Linked DNA regions of Callithrix jacchus. The protein of the gene in region 3 interacts with the protein of the main gene of each other region in a biochemical or structural test. Links are inferred from orthologs where the notes say so. Each region holds a gene or a part of one and is shown on either strand. Other genes may lie near its edges. The genes, in order: KBTBD6, NEDD4, MAP1LC3C, kelch repeat and BTB domain-containing protein 7, STK3 and SQSTM1.

Region 1 (4,033 bases), on a different chromosome or scaffold from region 3:
TATTTTATAAAGACCCCTTAGGTTAACCATTTTGGAAATCTACATTGTTCTGAAGAAAAAGATATGCTTTCAAAACACTGCCTAGCAATTCCTAATCCTTTTTCTGTTATAAAAATTAAAATTAAAAAGTTACTGCCACGGTGCTTGTGGCAATAAACAAAATGTAAAATTTATCAAAAGACTAAATTAGTTTTATGAAACATAAACATACTAAATAAATAAATACTGGATTCTTAGCACAAAAAATTATTAAAAGGTTGCTTTGAGTGTTAAAATTTGTAATATTAAATTACCTTCATATTTCAAACATTACTTTTTCTAAACCAAACCAGTTAATCAACTTTTCCTCCCCTTTGGGAACAAAAAGGATATTTAAGATATATTCCAAAACAGCAAAAACAACTTAGTGTTTGAATTCAGTTACAACAAACCCTGCTGATCCTGTGCATTTCACTGAGGTGCCACACGCACCCAAAAATCATCATCAGAAATAGAACTTGAACTTCCTGACTCAGACTCTGGCTCACTGAATCCACCTAAGTCCCATTCAGTGCTAGATTCACTTGGTATTTCTTCTTCTTCAGTGAGGAAACTCTGACCAGGTTCAAGGCAGGAAGGATAAACACGAGCAGAGAGGCAAAAAAAGTTGGAATCAAACTGCAAGAGGCCTAATGTGGTACCTATATTAATCCATTGGTCTCCCCTAATATCATATTCATACACAGTCACCCGGTTCTTTTTCCACTGTGGGGTGCGAGAGGTGACGAGCAACAATTTTTGGCCATGCTTGATAATCCGGTAGTTATTGGTCTCTGACACCAAGGGAATATTATTCATTTGCCTCCATTCTGCCCTAACTGGGTTGTAGACCTTCATGACTGGGATGTCACAGATACAATAGATCTCCTCATTGAAGACACACGCTTCCTGAAAGTCATTGCGCTTCAGAGAAACGCACTTCAGCCACATGTTGTGGCTAGGATCATAACAGAACATGCGCTTACTGTTGAGAGCATAGAGATAGTCCCGAATTACCAACAGGTCAAAGGATAAAAAAGAATGGGGCAGTGGAGCCACCAACGCCCACTGGTTTCTCTTAACATTGTAGCATTCTACTTCCTTCAATTTAACTCCAGTAATAGGGTCTCGCCCCCCCAAAATGTAAATGTAGCCATTGAGGTATGCCACATCCATGCCCTCACGACACAGCATGCGATCTGCAAGTTGGTGCCAACTATTCTGACCTGGTTTATACACCCAGAGGTCTGTCCTGGGCTGGGCAGCTAGGTAGATGTCGTGCTCTGGAGAGATACAGACAGCTAAGGTAGTGACAGTCCTAGTGTGAGCAAGACAGGTCAAAGGTGAGGGCACTTTGTAAAGGTCCCCAGAGTACGGATCACAGCAAAGAAAGGGATCTCTGGGGTGTCCAAAGAAGATCAGCATCTCCTTGGCACACATACCCAGCCTCTGAGGTGGATTTTCTGCTGCAGGTACAACAGAGTTGCTGCTGCTGCTGCTGCTGCTGCCGCCGCTGCTGCTGCTGTTTGGCACTGGCACCAGAGACTTGTACAGCAGGTCGCCATAGCGCATCTGCAGGGCCCCTTCAACAACGCCCAGGCAGTACTTCTTCACTAAGGGCTTGCTCAGCAGCCCTTCTAAGTAGTCCTGATCTTCCTCAGTGAAGTGCGTCCAGCGCACGCACTTGAAGACTTCTGCAGCACTGGGACCCCGCTCTTTGGGAGCAGCCTCCAGCCACTGCACTGCTACGTGGCACACTGTCCGCTCACTCTCCACGTCCAGACTATCCAGGCGCAGAACAGCCAGCAGCTGGGCCAGGGTCAGATCTGCTAGAGTCTCCTCCCGAATCGAACCCATGTGGCTGAGCTGCTTGAAGTTGTGAGCTATATAGGACTGGGCCTGAGATCGCAGCTTGCGATGGTCAAAGGCGTCTGCAAACTTGAGGATGGCGGTGCAGTTGGTGAGCTCCAGGCGTCGGGCTAAGAAGGAGGCACAGGCTTCCCGCACGTACTCCAGCTGCAGCATGTCCGAGGCCGCGTACAGGCGCTCCACGTTGGCCTCACTGAGCGACACACGACCCGTGTAGCAATAGTCCACCAGCACCTCGAAGGACTCGGCGTCCACGTCGTGCATGGTCACGCTGGCCTGCTGGCTCTCGTACATGCCACCTGTGAACATGCTCTTGAAGTAGGGACACGCAGCTGCCAGCACGTTGCGGTTGCAGGGGAACAGGCGACCCGTGCCGGGCCCGCTGCCGGGCGTTACCACCTCGATGGTCACATCGCACAGCAGCCGCGCGTCGTAGAAGGACTTGAGCTGGGCCAGGAGGGCTGCAGAATGGGCCGTGTCCTTTAATTCCTCTGGGCCCGTGAAAAAGGCCGAAACTGTGGGTATGTGAATCTTCTTGGGCCGCTTCCCACCGCGGGGACTGGCGAGGCGGCGAGAGCGCGGGGCGTCCTCCCGGGACTGCATGATGGAGATGGCGACGGGCGCTGAAGGCGAGAACGGCTGCAGGACCCGGCTCTGGCTCCTCCTCACCCTTCCCTCGCTGACGCTAAGGCAGCAGCGTGTCCGAAGAAGCCGGAGCACGAGCCCATTTACTGAATTCAGCCCAACCCCAAGGAGCCGCCTCCCTTTATCGTTTAGACAGTGGCTGACTCACCCGCTCTCACACCCGCGTCCCTTCTCCGCCTCTGCTCGCGTTCACAGGACCCGCTGGCTGGGAGCCTCAGACGCCGCTGCCACCGCGTGGGCGACAACACTAGGCGCCCAGGAGAACTACAGCTCCCACGATGCCTTTTGCGCCCCAAGGGCTACTGGGGCTCTCGGACCCCCGGGCCGAGACTGAAAGAGACCGCTTTGCATGTTGGGAGTAGTAGTTCGTGTAATATCGCGATCCTTCTCTGTGTTCCTTATTTTAATGACGACACTCGAGAGCGCCAATTTTCCTAGGTTGGATTTTGTGGTTCGGAAATGTGGTTTTGGTATCCAAAGTAGTCGCCTCGTTCTAGTATATATTGTTTGACTTGTCTCTGAACTGTTTCTTCTTCTTTTGTGAAATGTGAACAGGAGTATTTCATAGGATTGTGTGAAGATTAAATGAGTTGGTTATAGGACGCTCTTAATATTTGTTGGTTTGTAGAATAATTATTCGCTTCTTAGGTTGTAAAGGTTCTATAAGTTTTAACTTTTCTTCCAGCATTTATTTAAAAAAAAATGAAGCACCACTAATTTGAAATTATGAGCCTGTAGGAAAACAAAAAACAACCCCCAAAATCAGAAAACCTTGCAGCAGAGAATCCCTTTTAGGGGTGTGTGTGTGTGTTTTAATTAGTAGGTTTGAATCTTACGTTTACAGAAAAATTGAGCAGAAGGGACCGGGAGCTTCCTATATCTCTTCCCCCTTCGCAATTCCCTTATTATTAACATTTTGTATTAGTGTATGCATCCGTTAGAAGTGATTTTTTTTTTTTTTGTACATGCTGTGCCTCTCCCTGATACCAAAAGATAACTCAGTTTGTAGGATTGGTTGGCTGTTGCTGCTGAATTAGATCCCTGGCTTTTCCACCATTGCCTGTCCTTACTTGCCATGACTAAAAGGAAATCACCTCCAATCACCTGACTTTGAGACTTTCCTTCCATATCTGCATTTCAAAACCTGAAGTCCTCTCCAGCGTCTTCTCCCACTCTCCAATATTCAGTTTCCCCTTTCCCCTTTTTACCCAAAAGAAAAGACATATTTTAGAGAGTCCTCACTCTAAAATACAATGGAAGCCAGAGGCCTGGTGAGTAACTTAGCATCCTTTGAGACCCAGTGGTGCAAGCATTTCTCCCCTTGCTTGTATGAAGTTGCTGTTCCATCAGAGCGGGCTTCATTTTGAGTCATTCCCTCAACCTTTACACACCCCATGCAGTTCAGATGTTAAAAGTCACTGAGAACACCAAACACGTTTCCACTTCCGACCCACTTCCTGTGAAACCCTGCCACTGTCTTCCTCTCACATCACTGCCCACC
Region 2 (4,135 bases), on a different chromosome or scaffold from region 3:
TCCTGGAATCTGGTAAAACATTCCATATACAGAAATTTTAAAAGTCTATTTCAGTTCAAACAATTTTAAATATTTTGGAAAGGCCAAATTACATAAAGAACTCTTGGCAAAGATTCATAAGGGTTAAATTACTAATAAAATAAAGACGAATTGTCAAAAAAACAAATAAAAAGGTAAATAGAAAATTATGGGAACTGCCTAGCAATTTAAACAAAATTCAAAAAGACTAAAACTTAGAATTCAATATTGTTGAAAGAGTGAGTTACATTTTAGAAGGCAGTATTAACTCGTGGCTAAAGAAAAAATAGGGTGGAAACAAAATTCCTGTGGTTAAGGGTATATACAAACGCAAATGCCATTTATTTTTCCTCTGCTTTAAACATGCAGCATAATAGTTTTTATGAATGATCTTAGAAATACATGTATTTTAGAGATATAGTTCCTCTATAACCATTTAAAACAAGATCTTTGCACTTTGATACGGGTTTTTGTTTAATATTTTAAATAAGCATTTAAAATTTTACTCTATTTCATAATGATTAAGAAGGGGAGAAAACAAAATGATCATTTTGAAGATAGGAATAAAATACTGAGCTATATAACAGAATACTATACCATTTAAAGAAAAAATATATTAAGATAAAATGTAAAATAGATTGTTATTCAAAGTTTGTTTTTATGTTACAGAAAAGTTTTACAGCTTAAATCACTTAGGAAGATTTTTAAAAATACACATTTTGTACATTGGTAAAATAACAGAGTAAAAAACTACACATAGGGTTCTTCAGATTTACAAATATAAAATTCATGACTACAAAGTATATGCTAGCTAAGGACTGGGAAAATATATTAAATTGCTTAATTGTAATAAATTTTATCTAAATATTTCATTAAGTTATTCTCATATAAATTAACATTTACCAAGACCAAAGGAAACTTACCTTACAAGAATTAGACAGTTCATTTGTGCAATCTCTGTTGCTGTCTCTTGATAAATTATCAACTTTACCTTCATTTCCAGATGCAAACTTTATGAGTAACTGAGATGGTCCCCCTTTAGAACAATTGTGCTTAAGGCTGGATAGACAGGAAATATTTGGATAAGCTCCTCCCAATGAAATACTTCTTTGTAAAATACCATGATTTTTGTTCATCTGTGAATCTGGTCTTTCCAATTCTCCACTGATATTTATTTGATAATCAATGTTTTGGGAGGATGGCAAACATGCAGATGTCTTATGCATGAGCTTAATATACTCGGAATCAGAATTAAGCTTAATTTCTGACATTTCTGGTTTACAATCGCCATTTGTTGTTCCACCATCTAATGTAGTTGCTTTTTGTTGGGTGAAATGCACTGAAACACAAGAGTATCCTTCAGATGACTTTTCACAGGCAGTCTGTTTGGGAGTACTATTTGAAATAACAATTTTCTTTTGTAACAAGCCCTTCCTGTGAAGTGGCCTTATGTCTCTTACTTCTCCGGGGGTATAAACTGTTTTAGATAACCGAAGTCCATTGACAGCTGTTGAAAGAAATCCTTTAGCACCAGTGCCATCCTCATTATGTGCAATTTCATTAGGAGAAATAATAAACTGGTGTGAAGTTTGATAGGATCCTTTGCTCAGAAGAGTACATGGACTTGTTGGAGAAGTTGGTGGGGTATTTGAAGGACTCCTAGGAAAAATGACTAAGGAGGAGCAACGTTTTAGAGGAATTTTTGTGTTCCCGCTCACTGGCAATTTCATAATCTCTAATCCATGTTCCAAGTCATCCTGGACAAAAGGATCTGTACTTGTATTTCTTGAAAAAATTTCACATGGAGTAGTATTCCTGTTTGGCACACTTCTATTGGAGGTGCTGTCAGAAGATAAATTTCCACCCAAAAACGTATCATCACTTGGTGGAAAAGTATAACTACTACTGTCACTGATGACACTGTTAGTGTATGAACCTCCACTTGTGATACTTGTACATGACCCAAAATCACTACCATTGCTGCTGCAAGACCCATTGTCACTAGCTGAAAAGTTACTAAGGCTACCACTACAAATGGCAGGACTGCTTAAAAGGTTACCATCATTCACAGCAGTCAATTCATTATCAGCCACAACACTGCTGTAAACACCATCCTTTAAGATACAAGTAAATGAAGCATCATCACTATCAGCTAAGACATTGCTAGACTGAAGACAACCACTGTACCTTGTGGGCTGTAGTGAAATCTGCAGACAGCTGCTCTTTTTAATAACATTTTCAGATGAAGGAACAGATGATCTTTCTTGAGACTGAATGTTTCCCTTTATTAACGGAGCTAGTGCAGTCTGTCTGGGAGTCAGCTTCATTTGAACAATGTTAGACGCTGAAATCCGTGTTGGTCTTTTGAAGCACATGTGAACACGGCTATCCAAGTCATCTCCGGAGGCTTCTGACAAAGGGTAAGTATTGCTTCTTCTGGCTGCAAAGTGCAATCGTAAGCTCTGTGCCATTTGTTCTCATTTCCAAACATGTTAAAGGCTGAAAGTCATAACAAATATCTCTGTCTGTAGACAGGCTAGAAGCAGCTGCACTGCATCAAAAGAAAAAAATCATTTATGGTGCCTAAAAGAGCTATTAAGTAGTGGTCTTTATCCTAAGTAAAACATTAGATACCAGATATCATAGAAAGAAAAAGACGGCCCATTCCTGAGACTGACGTTTCCAAAATGTCTTGAATTGCTTGTAGTCAAAATGCCTTCACTTACAAAGCACTTGATTTCCAGCGACCTTTAAGCTGAGCTCAGCTGCAGCACACTGACTCAAACACAGCCAACCTTGTTTCAATTATACCTTCTCCAATTTGCATGAATGAGTAACACAAGAACAACAATCTTCTAACATTTCAAGTTGAAGCAGTATTTTTTCACCCTAGCTCTACTAAATGAACATATAACTATGTGAATCGCAGTGCCTATACTTTCTCCAGCTGACTTTGACCACTAATATTTTTACCCATAGGTATAGAATTACAGGAAGTTGGTAGGAACGGAACCCCATGTAATTAAGCATCAAATCAAAGATTGAATTTCCAAACAGTAACCATACTAGGAATCTAGTCAAGTTATAGGGGCTGTTAATTTTATTTTTAATGAGTGAATTCAAACAGTTGTGTAAATTTGGAAATACTAAAACTTTGGGATGAACTAAAACTTTAGCACTACATCAAACAGATAGACATTTTAGCTTCCAAAGTGCTAGTTATATAAAAAGTGAAAGATTAAGAACAGAACTACAAAATTAGCCTAGTAATACTACTGCAAAAATGAAGCACAGGTTCAAGAAAGAAAAGGTTAAGAGAAGCTGTCACTAAGCATTTTCTTCTGTAATTTTAAGGCCTTTTCCAGCCAAGTAGAACAGTCTTTAAATAATGCCATTTATATTTTGACTATTAAAACTCTGCCAAGAAATAGCCTAAGCAAATACTTCATTAAAAATATATGCAGATTAGAAAAAAAAACTATACCCCAAGATAGTTTGAACACACAGGATATTTTATTCCACTGTCTCTGCAATTCATTCACTTAAGAGAGTGTGGAGTTAAGTAAAGAAGTCAAAAAAAGGATTTAACACATCAAATAAACATATCTCAATGCCAATTCTGTTCTGAAAAACTCTAAGAGCTCTTTGCTGGCCCCTGCTGGTGCTCTGAAACAATGCATTTAGCTGTTTGATATCTACAAAGAAATACAAACCATGCTGCACATTTCTTTATATAAACAAAGTACATACTTGTTTACGTTTTTGAGAACTTGCCCTGCCCTAGAGGTGGAATTACTCACCAGTGCTGATAAAGCTCCCACAGTAGAGAACAGTGGACTGTTTGTCCTTTTAGAGGTTGTGATTTTGTATATATATATTTTTTGCTTTGTATTTATTTAACCTTTACTTTATTTTCAGTTTACTAGGCAATAAAAGTTTAATATTTTAATTTCTCTCCCAAATGTCATAGACCAAGGTTGGTATTCTATTTGAAAGAAATAAATTTATTTTTAAATAATACTCTAGGGTATATTTAAACCCCTTACATAAATTTTATAGCTGGAACTCCAGTAATAAATATATACTGGCTCATTCATAGGAAAGTAAAAGGTAAAAT
Region 3 (4,286 bases):
AGGAAGAGCCACCACTCTGCTGCCAATAGCTGGACCTGATCACTCCCAGCATCCCTGCTTCTCAGACTCCTCCATATACATACAGGAGAAATCCAATCCCTTCTGCCAGCGGCTGATACGTCTGTCAGAGCACCTGTTCTTCCCCACATGGGCTAGAGAGGATTGCAGGGTCTGTCCTCAAGGCTGCTCCCATCCCAGGGGGGCTGATGACTCCAGGCAGCCAAACGTCTCCTGGGAGGCGTAGGTCTTGTACACGAAGCCGTCCTCATCCTTGTAGTCCCTGTAGATCTCTGCCATGGTTGCACTCATGCTGACCAGGTTCTTGTTGTTCACCAGCAAGTAAAAGGCTTCTGTGTCTCTCAGGACCATGCGGCTCCTGGGGTGGGCAGGAGGGTGGTGAGGGGGTGACCTGTGAGGCAGCCCAGGGATCTGCAGCATCATGACGCTCAAGAAGAGGGAATTGCTCCCTCCTTCTTCCCTGAGATTTAGAAACTACAAGGAGTCGTAGTTGGGTCAAAAGGGTGAGGTCATTCCATGGATGAAATATGCCAAAACACGACGAGGAAACACAGCAGGGAAAGATGACGACACAAACCTGCTAAGCGCGCTGGACAGGCGCCGTGGCTCAGGCCTGTCATCCCAGCACTTTGGGAGGCTGAGGCGGGGGAATCACAAGGTCAGGAGTTCAAGTCCAGCTTCGCCAAGACGGTGAAACCCCGTCTCTACTAAAAATACAAAAGTTAGCCGGGCGTGGTGGTGGGCACCTGTAAGCTACTTGGGAGGCTGAGGCAGAGAATTGTCTGAACCCAGGAGGCAGAAGTTGCAGTGAGCGGAGATCACACCACTGCACTCCAGCCTGGGTGGCAGAGCCAGACGCCATCTCAAAAAAAAAAAAAAAAAAAAAAGTTAAGTAAATAACTTCTGTTTGCTATGAAATTAAAGCTGTTTCCCCAGGGGTACAAAAGTGATACATAGTCTCTCTGGCATCTCACTTTTTTTTTGAGATGGAATTTCACTCACTCTGTTGCCCATGCTGGAGTGCCATGGTGTGATCTCAGCTCACTGTAACCTCCACCACCCAGGTTGAAGCGATTCTCCTGTCTTATCCTCCCAAGTAGGTGGGATTACAGCCGTGTGCCACCACATTCAGCTAGTTTTTGCATTTTTAGAAGATACGGAGTTTCACCATGTTGGCCAGACTGGTCTTGAACTCCTGATGTCAGGTGATTCACCTGCCTTGGCCTCCCAAAGTGCTGGGATTACAGGCTCGAGACACTGCGCCCGGCCTGGCATGTCACTGTTGAACAGCCTAGGATGACACTTGGAAGGGATCTCCTGCCTTGAAGTGTGCCCTTTCCTTCCTGTGTTATTTCTGCGTTCACATCAAGGCGATAGGAAGGCAGCCATATTTAGTTGAACACGCTTCAAATGCCAAGGGCAATCTGAGTGCCCAGTTATCCCGGAGCAGATGGCAGTGTGAAAACGTAGGTGCCTAGGTGAAGGCTTGGCCTCACTTTAAGCACACTTCCTCCAGGTGCTCTAATTGGTGAAGCGGGCACAGCCCACCCATTCCTATCTTAGAGCTTTGAGCCTTCAGGTGGGCTATGTCCATGCAGCAGTGGGAGATGGGAGTAACTAGAATCCAATTCATTTTACACCCAGATAACTCCTCCCCAAATAACCCCAAAGGTTTGGTCACTGACAATTATACAGCCATCTTTGTGTAAAATAAAATAGAGTAATTTTTTCTTTCTTTCTTTTTTTTTTTGAGATGGAGTTTTACTCTTGTTGCCCAGGCTGGAGTGCAACGGTGCAATCTCAGCTCACTGCAACCTCTGCCTCCCAGGTTCAAGCGATTCTCCTGCCTCAGCCTCTTGAGCAGCTGGCATTACAGGCGTGCACCCCCACACCCAGCTAATTTTTGTATTTCTAGTAGAGTCAGGGTTTCACCATGTTGGCTGGGCTGTTTTCGAATTCGTAACCTCAGCCTCCCAAAGTGCTGGGATTACAGGCATGAGTCGGTGCACCCGGATTTAAAATAGAATTATTCTAAGAGCATCTTTTCAGGGCACTAGTGAATCTGAAAGATGACTTCAAAAAAATCTCTTTCCTCTCTTTCCCTGACATACCCCCATCCCCAAAATAAAACCACCTAACGAAGGAAACAGAAGAGCCCCCACACACCCCCGACACCTTCCTCCCGGGCACGCTCTGCGCCACCTACCGGATGATGCTGAGGGACTGGGTCATGGTCAGCTCCTGCGGGACCAGGAACTTGGTTTTGTCCAGCCGGGGCAGGAACTTCTCCCTGGGGTAGCGCTCCACTATCACCTGTCAAGAGCGTCAGTCCTTAAGAATGTGACTCAGAGTTCTCTGAGTCTTAGGATCTTGGAACAGAGAGAGGGAAGTTGTTGGCTGGTCTTGGTTTTTTCAAAGGACAGGTTCAGAACCCCGCCCCCCACAAGGGAAGTACAATGATGTCTTACCGGGATCTTGTTTGGGAACTTTGCCCAGATTCCAGCAACTTCCTCTTGTCTGATTGCTGTGAATATTTCAAGCACAAGAGAATAAGCAAACATCAAGAGAAAGCCAGATCCTCTCCTCTCTTTCGAGTAACCCAGAAAGGTACCCCAAGAAATTTACCCAAGCTTTTCCTCTGCTTGAAAGGTCTGACGCTTGGGATTTTCTGTGGAGGCGGCATTTCACTCAACAGCTTTGTCTGTTTTAAGAAAGAAAAGAAAAGAAGAACAAAAGTACTGCAACCAGGAACCTAATTCATTCCTCCAGCTGCTTCCAAACTGCCTGCAGGAGCCTGCAGGGGGCCCTTATGTAGAGCTGAGTGACATCAGGCCTCTGCTCACCCGCCTCCCCCTCCCCGAGCAGCACGAGGTCAGTTCTGGTGGAAATGGAATCGCCACCTACTTGCTGGTCAGAGAAAAGCCACTTTATTCATGACCAGTTCAAGATGTTTCTTTGCAAAAGAAATTAGGGTTTGTAATAAAATCATTGGCTAGGCAGCGGACCGTGGAGACGTAAAACTGCCTTATGCTGGCGACGTTTCTGTACTTCAGTAGAGAACCACCTTGAGAGGAGTCCAAGATGGATCCACCTCAGCCTGAAGTGTGCTGTGTAATTCTCACCACAGTCCGTGCCCTTTTCACAGAAGGAAACCTATACTAAGAAAGGTGAAGTGAGGCCGGGCGCAGTGGCTCACACCTGTAATCCCAGCACTTTGGGAGGCTGAGGCAGGCAGATCAGGAGGTCAGGAGTTCGAGACCAGTCTGGCCAACATAGTGAAACTCTGTCTCTACTAAAAATACAAAAATTAGCTGGGCATGGTGGTGAGCACCTGTCATCCCAGCTACTTGGGAGGCTGAGGCAGGAGAATCGCCTGAACCTGGGAGGTGGAGGTTGTGATTAGTCAAGATTGCACCACTGCATTCTAGCTTGGGCAACAGCGTAAGACTTGCCTCAAAAAAAAAAAAAAAAAAAAAAAAAGGTGAAACGATTTGGCCGAGGGCACACAGCTACACAGATGCAGTTTGGATTAAAACCCATAGTTGTCGGCCAGGCGCAGTGCCTCATGCCTGTAATCCCAGCACTTGGGAGGCCAAGGTGTGTAGATCACCTGAGGTCAGGAGTTTGAGACCAGCCTGGCCAACATGCTGAAACCCCGTCTCTACTAAAAATACAAAAATTATCCAGGTGTGGTGGCAGGAGCCTATAATCCCAGCTAGTTGGGAGGCTGAGGCAGGAGAATCACTTGAACCCAGGAGGTGGAGGTTGCAGTGAGCTTAGGTCCAACCATTGCACTTCAGCCTGGGCAACAAGAATGGAACTCCATCTCAAACAAACGAACAAGCAAAAACCCGAACAAACCCAGAGTTGTCACAAGGAAGTCCAAGTACAACACTCTGGTAGGTATATTTTGTCATTTAGTTTTCTCTGGGATAAAAGAAGGAAGGAAGAACAACTGCCCCCAAGATCTCCCTTTTAGAGTTAAGAAAATGGGCCTCTAGTCATACATAGAGGGAACAAATGCCATTTCTCCTATATTCTCATAACAAAAATCAGAACCCTAGGCCTTTTGGGTTTTTATAGAGGTTTTAGTACATCCGCAAGATTGATTAAACCGTTGGCCACTGATAATCAATTTAACCTCCAACCCCTCTACCCTCCCCAGAGGCTGGAGGTGGGGCTAAAAATTCCAACCCTCTAATCTCACCTTTGTCTTTCTGGTGACCAGCCCCCATCCAGAAGCTATCCAGGGACTGCCAGCCATCGGT
Region 4 (4,199 bases), on a different chromosome or scaffold from region 3:
TCCAGTTTTCTATTATACAGATTTAAAAGATAAATTCTTTGTGGCACTAAAGAAAACTTAAAAATTAACAGAAGACTGAATTAAAAAAAAAATAAGCCCACTAATCAAAACAGTCCACTGTGGGATGAATACCTGAACCAGGAAAAAGCCTACCAAGCATCCCAACCAATTATATAGTTCTTGTTTGCATATTTTAATTTTGGACTTTCAGCACAGTAAATTATTAAACGGGTTGGTTTCAGGGACTGTTTAAACCCTGTAGTATTTCAAAATGTTACCCTTTCTAAACCAAATCTGTGGTCGTAATCAACCTTTTTTTCCCAAGAAAAAGAGAGGATATCTTTTTAACATACATTCCATAGCAGTAGAAACATCTTAGTGTCTCAAAATACTATTTACAAAGAGCCCTGCTGATCCTGTGCATTTCGCTGAGGTGCTACCTGCACCCAGACTTCATCATCTGAAAAAGAACTTGAACTTCCTGACTCAGAGTCCAGTTCACTGAATCCATCTAAGTCCCATTCAGTACTAGACTCACTCCGTGCATCATCTTCCTCAGTAATGAAACTCTGACCAGGTTCGAGGCAGGAAGGATAAACTCGAGCACAAAGGCAAATAAAGCCAGAGTCAAACTGCAAAAGGCCTAACATGGTACCTATATTAATCCACTGATCTTCCCTAGTATCATACTCATACACTGTCACTCGGTTCTTTTTCCATTGTGGGGTTGTAGAAGTGATGAGCAGCAACTTTTGCTCATGATTGACAATCTGGTAGTTGTGAGTTTCTGAATCCAAAGGAATATTACTAATCCGCCTCCATTCTCCCCTAGCTGGGTTGTAGACCTTCATGACTGGGATGTCACAGATACAATAGATTTCATCATTGAAGACACACGCTTCCTGAAAGTCACTGCGTTTAAGAGAAGCACAGTTTAGCCACATATTGTGGCTAGGATCATAGCAGAGCATGCGCTTACTGTTGACAGCATAAAGATAGTTCTGAACCACTATGAGTTCAAAAGAATAGAAGGAATGAGGGACAGGAGCCACCAATGCCCACTGGTTTCTCTGAACACTGTAGCATTCCACTTCCTTCAATTTAACTCCAGTAATAGGGTCTCGTCCCCCCAAAATGTAGATGTAGCCATTGAGGTATGCCACATCCATGCCCTCGCGACACAGCAAGCGATCTGCAAGTTGCTGCCAACTATTCTGAGCTGGTTTATACACCCAGAGGTCTTTCCTGGGCTGGGCAGCTAGGTAGATGTCATGATCTGGGGAGACACAGACAGCTGAGGAGGTGATAGTCTTAGTGTGAGCAAAGCTGGTTAAAGGTGACGGCATTGTGTAAATGTCCCCCGAGTAAGGGTCATAGCAGAGAAACGGATCTCTGGGGTGTCCAAAGAAGATCACCATCTCCTTGGCACACATACCCAGCCTCTGAGGTGGATTTTCTGCTGCAGGTACAACAGAGTTGTTGTTGCTGCTGTTGCTGCTGCTGCTGCCACTGCTGCTGCTGCTGCTGCCGCTGCTGCCGCTGCTGCTGCTGCTGTTTGGCACTGGCACCAGAGACTTGTACAGCAGGTCGCCATAGCGCATCTGCAGGGCCCCTTCAACAACGCCCAGGCAGTACTTCCTCACTAAGGACTTGCTCAGCAGCCCTTCTAAGTAGTCCTGATCTTCCTCAGTGAAGTGCGTCCAGCGCACGCACTTGAAGACTTCTGCAGCACTGGGACCCCGCTCTTTAGGAGCAGCCTCCAGCCACTGCACTGCTACGTGGCACACTGTCCGCTCACTCTCCACGTCCAGACTATCCAGGCGCAGAACAGCCAGCAGCTGGGCCAGGGTCAGATCTGCTAGAGTCTCCTCCCGAATCGAACCCATTCGGCTGAGCTGCTTGAAGTTGTGAGCTATATAGGACTGGGCCTGAGACCTCAGCTTGTGATGGTCAAAGGCGTCTGCAAACTTGAGGATGGCGGTGCAGTTGGTCAGGTCCAGGCGTCGGGCTAAGAAGGAGGCACAGGCTTCCCGCACGTACTCCAGCTGCAGCATGTCCGAGGCCGCGTACAGGCGCTGCACGTTGGCCTCACTGAGCGACACACGACCCGTGTAGCAATAGTCCACCAGCACCTCGAAGGACTCGGCGTCCACGTCGTGCATGGTCACGCTGGCCTGCTGGCTCTCGTACATGCCACCTGTGAACATGCTCTTGAAGTAGGGACACGCAGCTGCCAGCACGTTGCGGTTGCAGGAAAAGAGGCGACCCGTGCCGGGCCCGCTGCCGGGCGTTACCACCTCGATGGTCACATCGCACAGCAGCCGCGCGTCGTAGAAGGACTTGAGCTGGGCCAGGAGGGCTGCAGAATGGGCCGTGTCCTTTAATTCCTCTGGGCCCGTGAAAAAGGCCGAAACCGAGGGCTTGGAAATCCTCTTGGGCCGCCTCCCACCGCGGGGACTGGCGAGGCGGCGAGAGCGCGGGGCGTCCTCCCGGGACTGCATGATGGAGATGGCGACGGGCGCTGAAGGCGAGAACGGCTGCAGGACCCGGCTCTGGCTCCTCCTCACCCTTCCCTCGCTGACGCTAACACAAGCCGCTTCCTGGAACAGACTGCGGCACGGACCTGACTCCTGAATTCTGCCTACCCCGCGGTGAGGCCTCCCTTTATCGCGTAGACAGTGGCTGACTCACCCTCTCTCACTTCCGCGCCCTTTCTCCGCCTCTGCTCGCGTTCACAGGACCCGCTGGCTGGGAGCCGCGGAAGCCCCACTGCCGCGCTGGCGATCCCGCTAGGCGCCCTGGAGAACTACGGTTCCCGGGTTGCCTTTCGCGCCCCGAGGCCTGCTGGGGCTCTCGGACAGCCGGGCCAAGACCGAGGAAGGAAACCGCTTTGCATGTTGGGAGTAGTAGTTTGTGAAATATCGCGAGCTTTCCTTTCGTTGCCTGCTCTAACAGAAGTAGAAATTAATACTCCGGGATTTGATGGTGAAGAACGAGGTCTCACTATTGTTGCCAGGCTGGTCTCGAACTACTGGGGGCTCAAATGATCCTCCTCCTTCGGCCTCTCAAAGTGCTGGGATTACAGGCGTGAGCCACTGCGCCCTGCCAATATTTTACAGGGTTTTGTGGGGTTGAATGATATGTTACATAGGATGCTTAAATATGTGTATTTTTTTATTAGAAGAATAATTAATAAATCACTACCCCGTGCCTAGAATGTAATCAATAATTGTTAGATTCTCTTTTATAATTTATGATAAATGAGGCACCCGCTAATTTGAAACCAAGTATTTTTTTTAAAACTGCAAAACGTTACAAAGCTTCCAATTTTTAATTTTTATTTTTTGAGAGGTTCTGAAGAGTATTAATATTTTCAATATTAAATGATGTATATTGGTCTCATTTAACAAGAATGTCTTAGATGGTTAGGTTGAGGTCCTAAAGAGCAGTATTAATAGATGGCCTCAAATATGCAAATTGAGCATATACAAATAGATGATTTGCTGCTCTCACTAACATTTCATCTCTGCAGAGCAAGAGTATTTTCATTAAGCTGCAAATGTAAGTGTGTTCAAATTGAATAATACAGCCTCTTTCTTTTTTTTTTTGAGATGGAGTTTAGCTCTTGTTACCCAGGCTGGAGTGCAATGGCACGATCTCGGCTCACCGCAACCTCCGCCTCCTGGGTTCAGGCAATTCTCCTGCCTCAGCCTCCTGAGTAGCTGGGATTACAGGCATGCACCACCATGCCGGCCTAAGTTTTTGTATCTTTAGTAGAGACGGGGTTTCACCATGTTGACCAGGATGGTCTCAATATCTTGACCTCGTGATCCACCCACCTCGGCCTCCCAAAGTGCTGGGATTACAGGCGTGAGCCACCGCGCCCGGCCAAATACAGCCTCTTTCACTGCCATTCTACAAATCAGTTAACAGACTCTGCAATTGCTTTCGTAGAGAAGTTTTAGGGAGAATTTTAACTCAAAACATTTCAACAGACTTTGTTCTGTACAAAAGCACATGATTCTCAGACTTCAGCATTCATACATGCCCTGACGTTCCTTGAATTAATACACAGTATAGTCTATGCTTTACAAAACTATTTAATATATGCGTTGATCAACAGCTAAATCATCAAAACCAAGTATTAGAGATTTGAGGCAGGAAAATAGGGCCTGGAGGCCGGGAACATAGGCCGATGC
Region 5 (3,500 bases), on a different chromosome or scaffold from region 3:
TCCACACGTGAATATATATTTTGTAGTATTCTACATGACAAAATGGAAAATATGCATAATGCACTTCCCCACATACCAAAGAACAATAATAATCTGAAAAAAAGTAGTTGCATGACTGAGCTGCAAGCTAAATAAACTACAAGGCTCTTTTCAAGAACACCGATTTTACTTGAAGAATAACTGACAGAAAACTAAGGTTACACAGATGGGTATTTGACAGACATTTTCTCAAAAATGAACCAAGTGAACCCGTCATTTCAAGACAAATAAAAGGCAGTATTTGTTGCCCATGATAGAACTGTATCTGTTACATGATCTTAACAACCCCCAATACTTGCAGTTCAATACTCTAATTTGTGAGGCAGCTCACAAACACAAAAAAAGTTAAATAATGCCATCATTCAAATAGGAGATAAACTATATTATGTTTGGAAATGTACAAGGCAACACTTGATTAACTATCCAAAGAACTGGACTGTCAAAAATTGCCTATATACAAATTATGAGGAAAAAGAGAAATTTACTTGGGCGACAGCTGTCAAGAATGGGTCTATCCAGAAATAAAATCTGAGTTGAGACTTTAAAAAATGGTAGGATTTAGACTGGTTTGAAAAAAAAAAAAACAGTAAGCAAGGCATCCGAGGAAATTTGCAATATATATATATTTTTTTTCCTAAGAGAAACACTATCATCAGGTATATTTTTAACAATGTATTATGTATTCATTCAAACTCTCAGGTAATATTATCAGATCCTTAAAGGAAGGGGTCACATATTACAATTCTCTCCTCTCTGCTAGAGAAAGTAGCACAGGGTCAAATTTAACATATTGAACTATTTGGATAGAAAAATAAGATTTACACAGGGAAGAAGCAGAATGGTAATAATGGAAGTCCTAGGTTAAATCCCAGCTCTGGAACCTACCTAAGTTGCCTTGGGTAATTTAGTAACCCTCACGGACTGAAACACAAACTTGTCTACTTTGAGGATCACTCTACAAACATCCTAACTAAAATAACCACAGATAACTAATGATCAGAGAAGAAGTAAGACTCTGTGTTCCTGTTTTTGTTCTTGCTGACCTTGTTATTTTTCATTTTATTTTAAAACAATTGATGCTATTTTTATCTTTCATTTACCAAAAGGAATTTACATACACAAGGAAGATGGTACATATTGTATACGATTATATTACTCAAAGAATTCTATGCTGGGCACACTCCTGTAATCCCAGCACTTTGGGAAGCCACAGTGGGAGGATCGCTTGAGCCCAGGAGTTGGAGACTAGCCTGGGCAATGTAGCGACAACTTGTCTCTACTAACAGAAAATAGCCTGGGCAATGTAGCGACAACTTGTCTCTACTAACAGAAAATTAGTTGGGCATGATAGTGCATACCTATATCCCCAGCTACTCTGCAGGCTGAGGTGGGAAGATCACCTGAGCCCAGGAAGTTGAGGCTAGAGTGAGCCATGATCGCACTACTGCACTACAGGCAGGGTGACAGAGTAAGACCCTGTCTCAAAAGAATGAGAAAACAAAAACTCTCTTTAAAAATGCTCGCGAAGGCGAGGTCATCAGTTCAAGGCTAACCTGAGCAACCTCATAAGCTCAAACTGATTGGCAAAAAAATAAAAATAAATAAAATAAAAAAATAAAAATGTTTCAATACAACAGACAGATTTTTAAATGTTTTCCATATAATACACTATTACCTATATTATCAAAATTTAACCCACAATAGCATTATAATATCAGATGTGATTCCAATTTATTCATCTTCAGATAGCCTAAAATAATGCATTCTTCTTCTTCCTACTTACTTCAAATTCCTCCAGCCACCATGACACTATCTTCTCTTTTCTACACATACATACACTCTTCCCTTCATTTCTATATCCTTATTGAGGTAACTGCAGCCACTAGAGGGCAATAAGTATACAAAGATAAATGTACTTATCTATGATGATGAACTTATCTATATGATTCACAGAGTAATAAACCTAAAAAGTATATCATCACAAATCTTGAAACATAGGCAATTGGACTTGAATATGTAAGATATATATTTCAAACTCAAAAATTTTCCTGCAGCGATCACAGAAACATATAATGATGTTCAACAAAGGAATTCCATTTTCTGAATAAGGATTCATTAAAAAAAAAAAAGCCTAATTCCTTTACAGGTGCATAGCAATATTAGAAATTAGGATTGCTTAATATCATCCTCAGACCAAAGAGAAAGGGTAGAAAAAAAAAACCACACACACACACACACACACACACACACACACACACACACACTGAGAGAGAGAGAGAGAGAGAGAGAGAGAGAGAGAGAGAGAGAGAGAGAGATAGAGAGAGAGAGAGACAGGTATACATTACGGAGTGGGTAAGAACAGATTACTTCAAACTCTTCCACTATCACATCGAGAAGCAATAAACTGAAGAGCAAAGAGGATTTACCAACCCTTTCTTCTACTGAAAAGCAAGCAAAAACTTTACAGGTATATTTTTGGGGGTAGAACAGTGACTGTAGACATATACAGAGCCTTCACTTCTTTTCCCACAATTTAGAATGCAGAAGGAAGAGAAATTATCAGTTACTAATCTTTAAGAGATAATTTTAGCATTTTTAAAAAGAACAAATTTAAATAAACGTATTTAGTTTATATTTACTTACACTGACATTACAAAACTGCAACACTTATATAAGGCTAACATTTTTAGCAAATCATAATTTTCTTACCCTCATTGGATGTATATCAGCATAAGGAGGTTTTCCTTCAGCCATTTCTATAGAAGTAATGCCGAGGGACCAGATGTCAGCAACACAGTTATAGCCTATTTCTTGAATCACCTCAGGAGCCATCCAAAATGGAGTTCCTATTACAGTATTGCGTTTGGCCATCGTATCCTGCAATAATGTTACGTAGCCATAAATGCTACTACAAAAACACAAAGGAAATCTGTATGCCAAACATTCTTTAAGAAAAAGTCAAAACCTCCAATGCCACATATTGTATCAGAAATTGACTATATTTTGCTAAAATTTCAACCAGTTATGACATACTTAGGAATTCTGAATTCTGAAAACAACCAAGAATCCACAGGTAACTTATCTCTACTACCATCACTTAAATACAATCCTTAAAGATACTATAATGCTGAAAGCTACACAAATGAGCTGACTAGCTTCCCTTTTAGAACAGTAAAGCATTTTGATTACAAATTTTCATATTCAATTATCCTAAATTATAAATTAAATAATACTCGAATTTGGCTCGATTAGGGTTCCTTCTCCACAAAAACAAAAAAGTTACACATTTCTTTCCATTCCCCCTCAAAAAGTTATCAAAGTTTAGTTACAATCAAAGCTGAACAAATTAGCCAAGTGTTTAGAAAATTATTAAATTTAACTTACTGTTAGCTGTCCAGCCACTCCAAAATCTGCCAATTTTGCATGTCCTTCTGTATTGAGGAGAATATTTCCAGCTTTTA
Region 6 (2,443 bases), on a different chromosome or scaffold from region 3:
AGATTCCATCTGTTCCTGGAACAAAACGCACCATGAGCACACAGGAGACATTCCCTACAGGCCAAGCCTGACATGACACCAACTCCTGGCATGTGTTTAAAGCTGCAGGGGGCTACAGGGAATAGTGAGTCACTCTCAAAGACCAAGTAACTACAAAATTCTAGCAGGTTCCCAAAGGACTTTAATGCCACAGACATCACTACAGGAACAGCAGCAGCTCCCTTGGATTTTATAAGTGGGGCTGCATAGGTGCTGAGGATGAGGCAGAGGTGCAGGCCACAAATCACTAGGCTGGCCACAGTCCCAGGTGGCGGGAGGGGCACAAGCTTGCCTCAGGGTGCCCCTCGGACTCCAAGGCAATCTTTCTCATCTGCTCCGCCAGAGACTGCGTGGCGCCCTCAACGTTCCCACGGGGCTTGCTGGGCTCAGAGCAGCAGCTGCTTGACTGCAAGCTGCTCTTCTCTGTGCTGAAACACTCTGGAGAAACAGGGGTCAGGCGGCTTCTTTTCCCTCCATGCTCCACATCAATATCAACTTCAATGCCTAGAGGCCAAGGAGGAAAGAAAAAACTGTGAAGTTCCCCGAAGGATGCACCTGCAGGCAGGAGCTTGGCATGTGGGGACTGCAGACTCACAAAGATCTCACATTCAGTCCCCACAACAGGTAAAGGTCTGGATGGTGGCACTCAGCATGTGGATACAGGTGCTAGGTTCTCCTATTGAGCTTGACCCTAGAGTCACATAGCCAGTATGGGACCAGCCAAGATACAAACCCTTGAGTCAGAGGCTCTTCCCAGTATCCCAGCTCCAAATCTCTTGTGGCTTCTGGAAACTCTGTGTGCCTATGATACTGGACCTTTCTCTTTCTCCAATCCACTAAAACATGAACCTCAGCTAACATCTAAGGTCAGCTTCAGAGCTAGGAAGTCCAAAGAGACCTTATTTTTCCTAACCATGCAGGACATGGGCTACACTGCAGGTAGGGCCAGGCCCTAAGTACAGGGGGAGCCAATGCTACATGTGGCAGGCACCTCCAGCCAGTGATGGAAGGCTGTGTGTCTCATGATACTTGCACACAGAGGCTTTGTGTGATGACACGTACACGCACCTAAACGCTAGGGCTCTGCTCAGAGAGGTGGACAGGCCATGCAGTCAAGGCGTAGGGCCCAAGGTTGGCAGCACAGGGAGCCTGCACACCTCCAGGCTCACATAACTCACCAGGGACAGAGGGAGGAATCACAATATTTTTAAAATTACATGTGTCAAAAGTCTCCATACCCACAGCTTAGAGTCACCAGTTGCCAGAGGCTGTGATGCATATTCCCTGCTCCCATTCCACTCCCCAAAGCCTCCCTGGGCTCTTTCAGCTCATGCTACTCTTGCCTACTGATAGAGTTCACATCTATGCACTTCTTACTCTAGACCAGTATCTGCCTCCCCTTCCACTACCCTTTCTAAGACTCAATTTTTTGTTAAAACAACGTTCAGTGTTTCAGTTAGTACCTCTGTCTTAATGTTATTTGCTGGGTCAATTAGCAGACTATTTCCTTGTATAGCTTTTTGTTTTCTTATCACTAATGATGCCTTCTCTCTTTTTTTTTAGACAGTCTCACTCTGTTGCCCAGGCTGGAGTGCAATGGCACGAACTCAACCACTGCAGCCTCTGCCTCCTGGATTTAAGCAATTCTCCTGCCTCGGCCTCCTGAGTACCTGGGACTACAGGCATGTGCCACCACATGCGGCTAATTTTTCGTATTTTTAGTAGGGATGGGGTTTCACCATGTTAGCCAGGATGGTCTTGATTTCCTGATCTTGTGATCCGCCTGCCTTGGCCTCCCAAAGTGCTGGGATTACAGCATGAGCCACCACACCTGGCCTTCTTTGAGATGAAGTCTCGCTCTGTTGCCTGGGCTGAAATGCAGTGGCACAATCTCGGCTCAATGCAACCTCCACCTACCAGGTTCAAGCAATTCTCCTGCCTCAGCGTCCTATGTAGCTGAGATTACAGGTGCCCGCCACGACACCCAGCTAAGTTTTATATTTTTAGCAGAGATGGGGTTTCACCATGTTGGCCAGGCTGGTGTTGAACTCCTGACCTCAGGTAATCTGCCCATCTTGGCCTCCCAAAGTACTTGGACTACAGGCATGAGCCATTGCGCCCAGCCTGCCTTCTCTTTTCATTTGCTAACTCTCCCCATGTTCTCCCACAGCATCTCCATAGTTTTCTACAGGGGTGAAGTGGATCAGAGGCCCCACTGGTTCTGGTGTTTTCCTTAGAGAATGCCCCTTGGTGTGCAGCCTCCTATTCCAGCCAGGACTGGCAGCTCTCTGGGCAGAGGCTCTGTTGTGATGCTGTGACCACCTTTACTTTCACCCTGTGTCCTATTAGGTCCTTCGTTTCCTAATACCTCTGTTCTTCATTCTGGGTTTCTCTCTTCATGTGG

The links.
Region 1: the proteins of MAP1LC3C (region 3) and KBTBD6 form a complex in vitro, tested with the Homo sapiens proteins (2 studies listed by BioGRID and IntAct, with this or other methods). The link is inferred for Callithrix jacchus from reciprocal best matches to the Homo sapiens genes MAP1LC3C and KBTBD6.
Region 2: the proteins of MAP1LC3C (region 3) and NEDD4 form a complex in vitro, tested with the Homo sapiens proteins (2 studies listed by BioGRID and IntAct). The link is inferred for Callithrix jacchus from reciprocal best matches to the Homo sapiens genes MAP1LC3C and NEDD4.
Region 4: the proteins of MAP1LC3C (region 3) and kelch repeat and BTB domain-containing protein 7 form a complex in vitro, tested with the Homo sapiens proteins (2 studies listed by BioGRID and IntAct, with this or other methods). The link is inferred for Callithrix jacchus from reciprocal best matches to the Homo sapiens genes MAP1LC3C and KBTBD7.
Region 5: the proteins of MAP1LC3C (region 3) and STK3 form a complex in vitro, tested with the Homo sapiens proteins (2 studies listed by BioGRID and IntAct). The link is inferred for Callithrix jacchus from reciprocal best matches to the Homo sapiens genes MAP1LC3C and STK3.
Region 6: the proteins of MAP1LC3C (region 3) and SQSTM1 form a complex in vitro, tested with the Homo sapiens proteins (6 studies listed by BioGRID and IntAct, with this or other methods). The link is inferred for Callithrix jacchus from reciprocal best matches to the Homo sapiens genes MAP1LC3C and SQSTM1.

The regions. Positions count from the first base shown.
Region 1 is NC_133506.1:160,304,722-160,308,754, forward strand, and holds the start of KBTBD6 (kelch repeat and BTB domain-containing protein 6), read right to left. Parts: upstream 2,801-4,033; 5' UTR 2,491-2,800; coding exon 451-2,490; 3' UTR 1-450. UniProt on the Homo sapiens protein: As part of the CUL3(KBTBD6/7) E3 ubiquitin ligase complex functions as a substrate adapter for the RAC1 guanine exchange factor (GEF) TIAM1, mediating its 'Lys-48' ubiquitination and proteasomal degradation.
Region 2 is NC_133509.1:43,694,673-43,698,807, forward strand, and holds the start of NEDD4 (E3 ubiquitin-protein ligase NEDD4), read right to left. Parts: upstream 2,801-4,135; 5' UTR 2,490-2,800; coding exon 942-2,489; intron 1-941. UniProt on the Homo sapiens protein: E3 ubiquitin-protein ligase which accepts ubiquitin from an E2 ubiquitin-conjugating enzyme in the form of a thioester and then directly transfers the ubiquitin to targeted substrates. Specifically ubiquitinates 'Lys-63' in target proteins.
Region 3 is NC_133520.1:43,983,740-43,988,025, reverse strand, and holds the start of MAP1LC3C (microtubule-associated protein 1 light chain 3 gamma), read right to left. Parts: upstream 2,801-4,286; 5' UTR 2,702-2,800; coding exon 2,644-2,701; intron 2,543-2,643; coding exon 2,487-2,542; intron 2,332-2,486; coding exon 2,225-2,331; intron 377-2,224; coding exon 178-376; 3' UTR 1-177.
Region 4 is NC_133506.1:160,346,431-160,350,629, forward strand, and holds the start of kelch repeat and BTB domain-containing protein 7, read right to left. Parts: upstream 2,801-4,199; 5' UTR 2,502-2,800; coding exon 396-2,501; 3' UTR 1-395. UniProt on the Homo sapiens protein: As part of the CUL3(KBTBD6/7) E3 ubiquitin ligase complex functions as a substrate adapter for the RAC1 guanine exchange factor (GEF) TIAM1, mediating its 'Lys-48' ubiquitination and proteasomal degradation.
Region 5 is NC_133517.1:98,134,868-98,138,367, reverse strand, and holds part of STK3 (serine/threonine-protein kinase 3), read right to left. Parts: coding exon 3,424-3,500; intron 2,917-3,423; coding exon 2,749-2,916; intron 1-2,748. UniProt on the Homo sapiens protein: Stress-activated, pro-apoptotic kinase which, following caspase-cleavage, enters the nucleus and induces chromatin condensation followed by internucleosomal DNA fragmentation.
Region 6 is NC_133503.1:71,810,860-71,813,302, forward strand, and holds part of SQSTM1 (sequestosome-1), read right to left. Parts: intron 1,726-2,443; exon of another isoform or gene 1,603-1,725; intron 664-1,602; exon of another isoform or gene 544-663; coding exon 332-543; intron 16-331; coding exon 1-15. UniProt on the Homo sapiens protein: Molecular adapter required for selective macroautophagy (aggrephagy) by acting as a bridge between polyubiquitinated proteins and autophagosomes.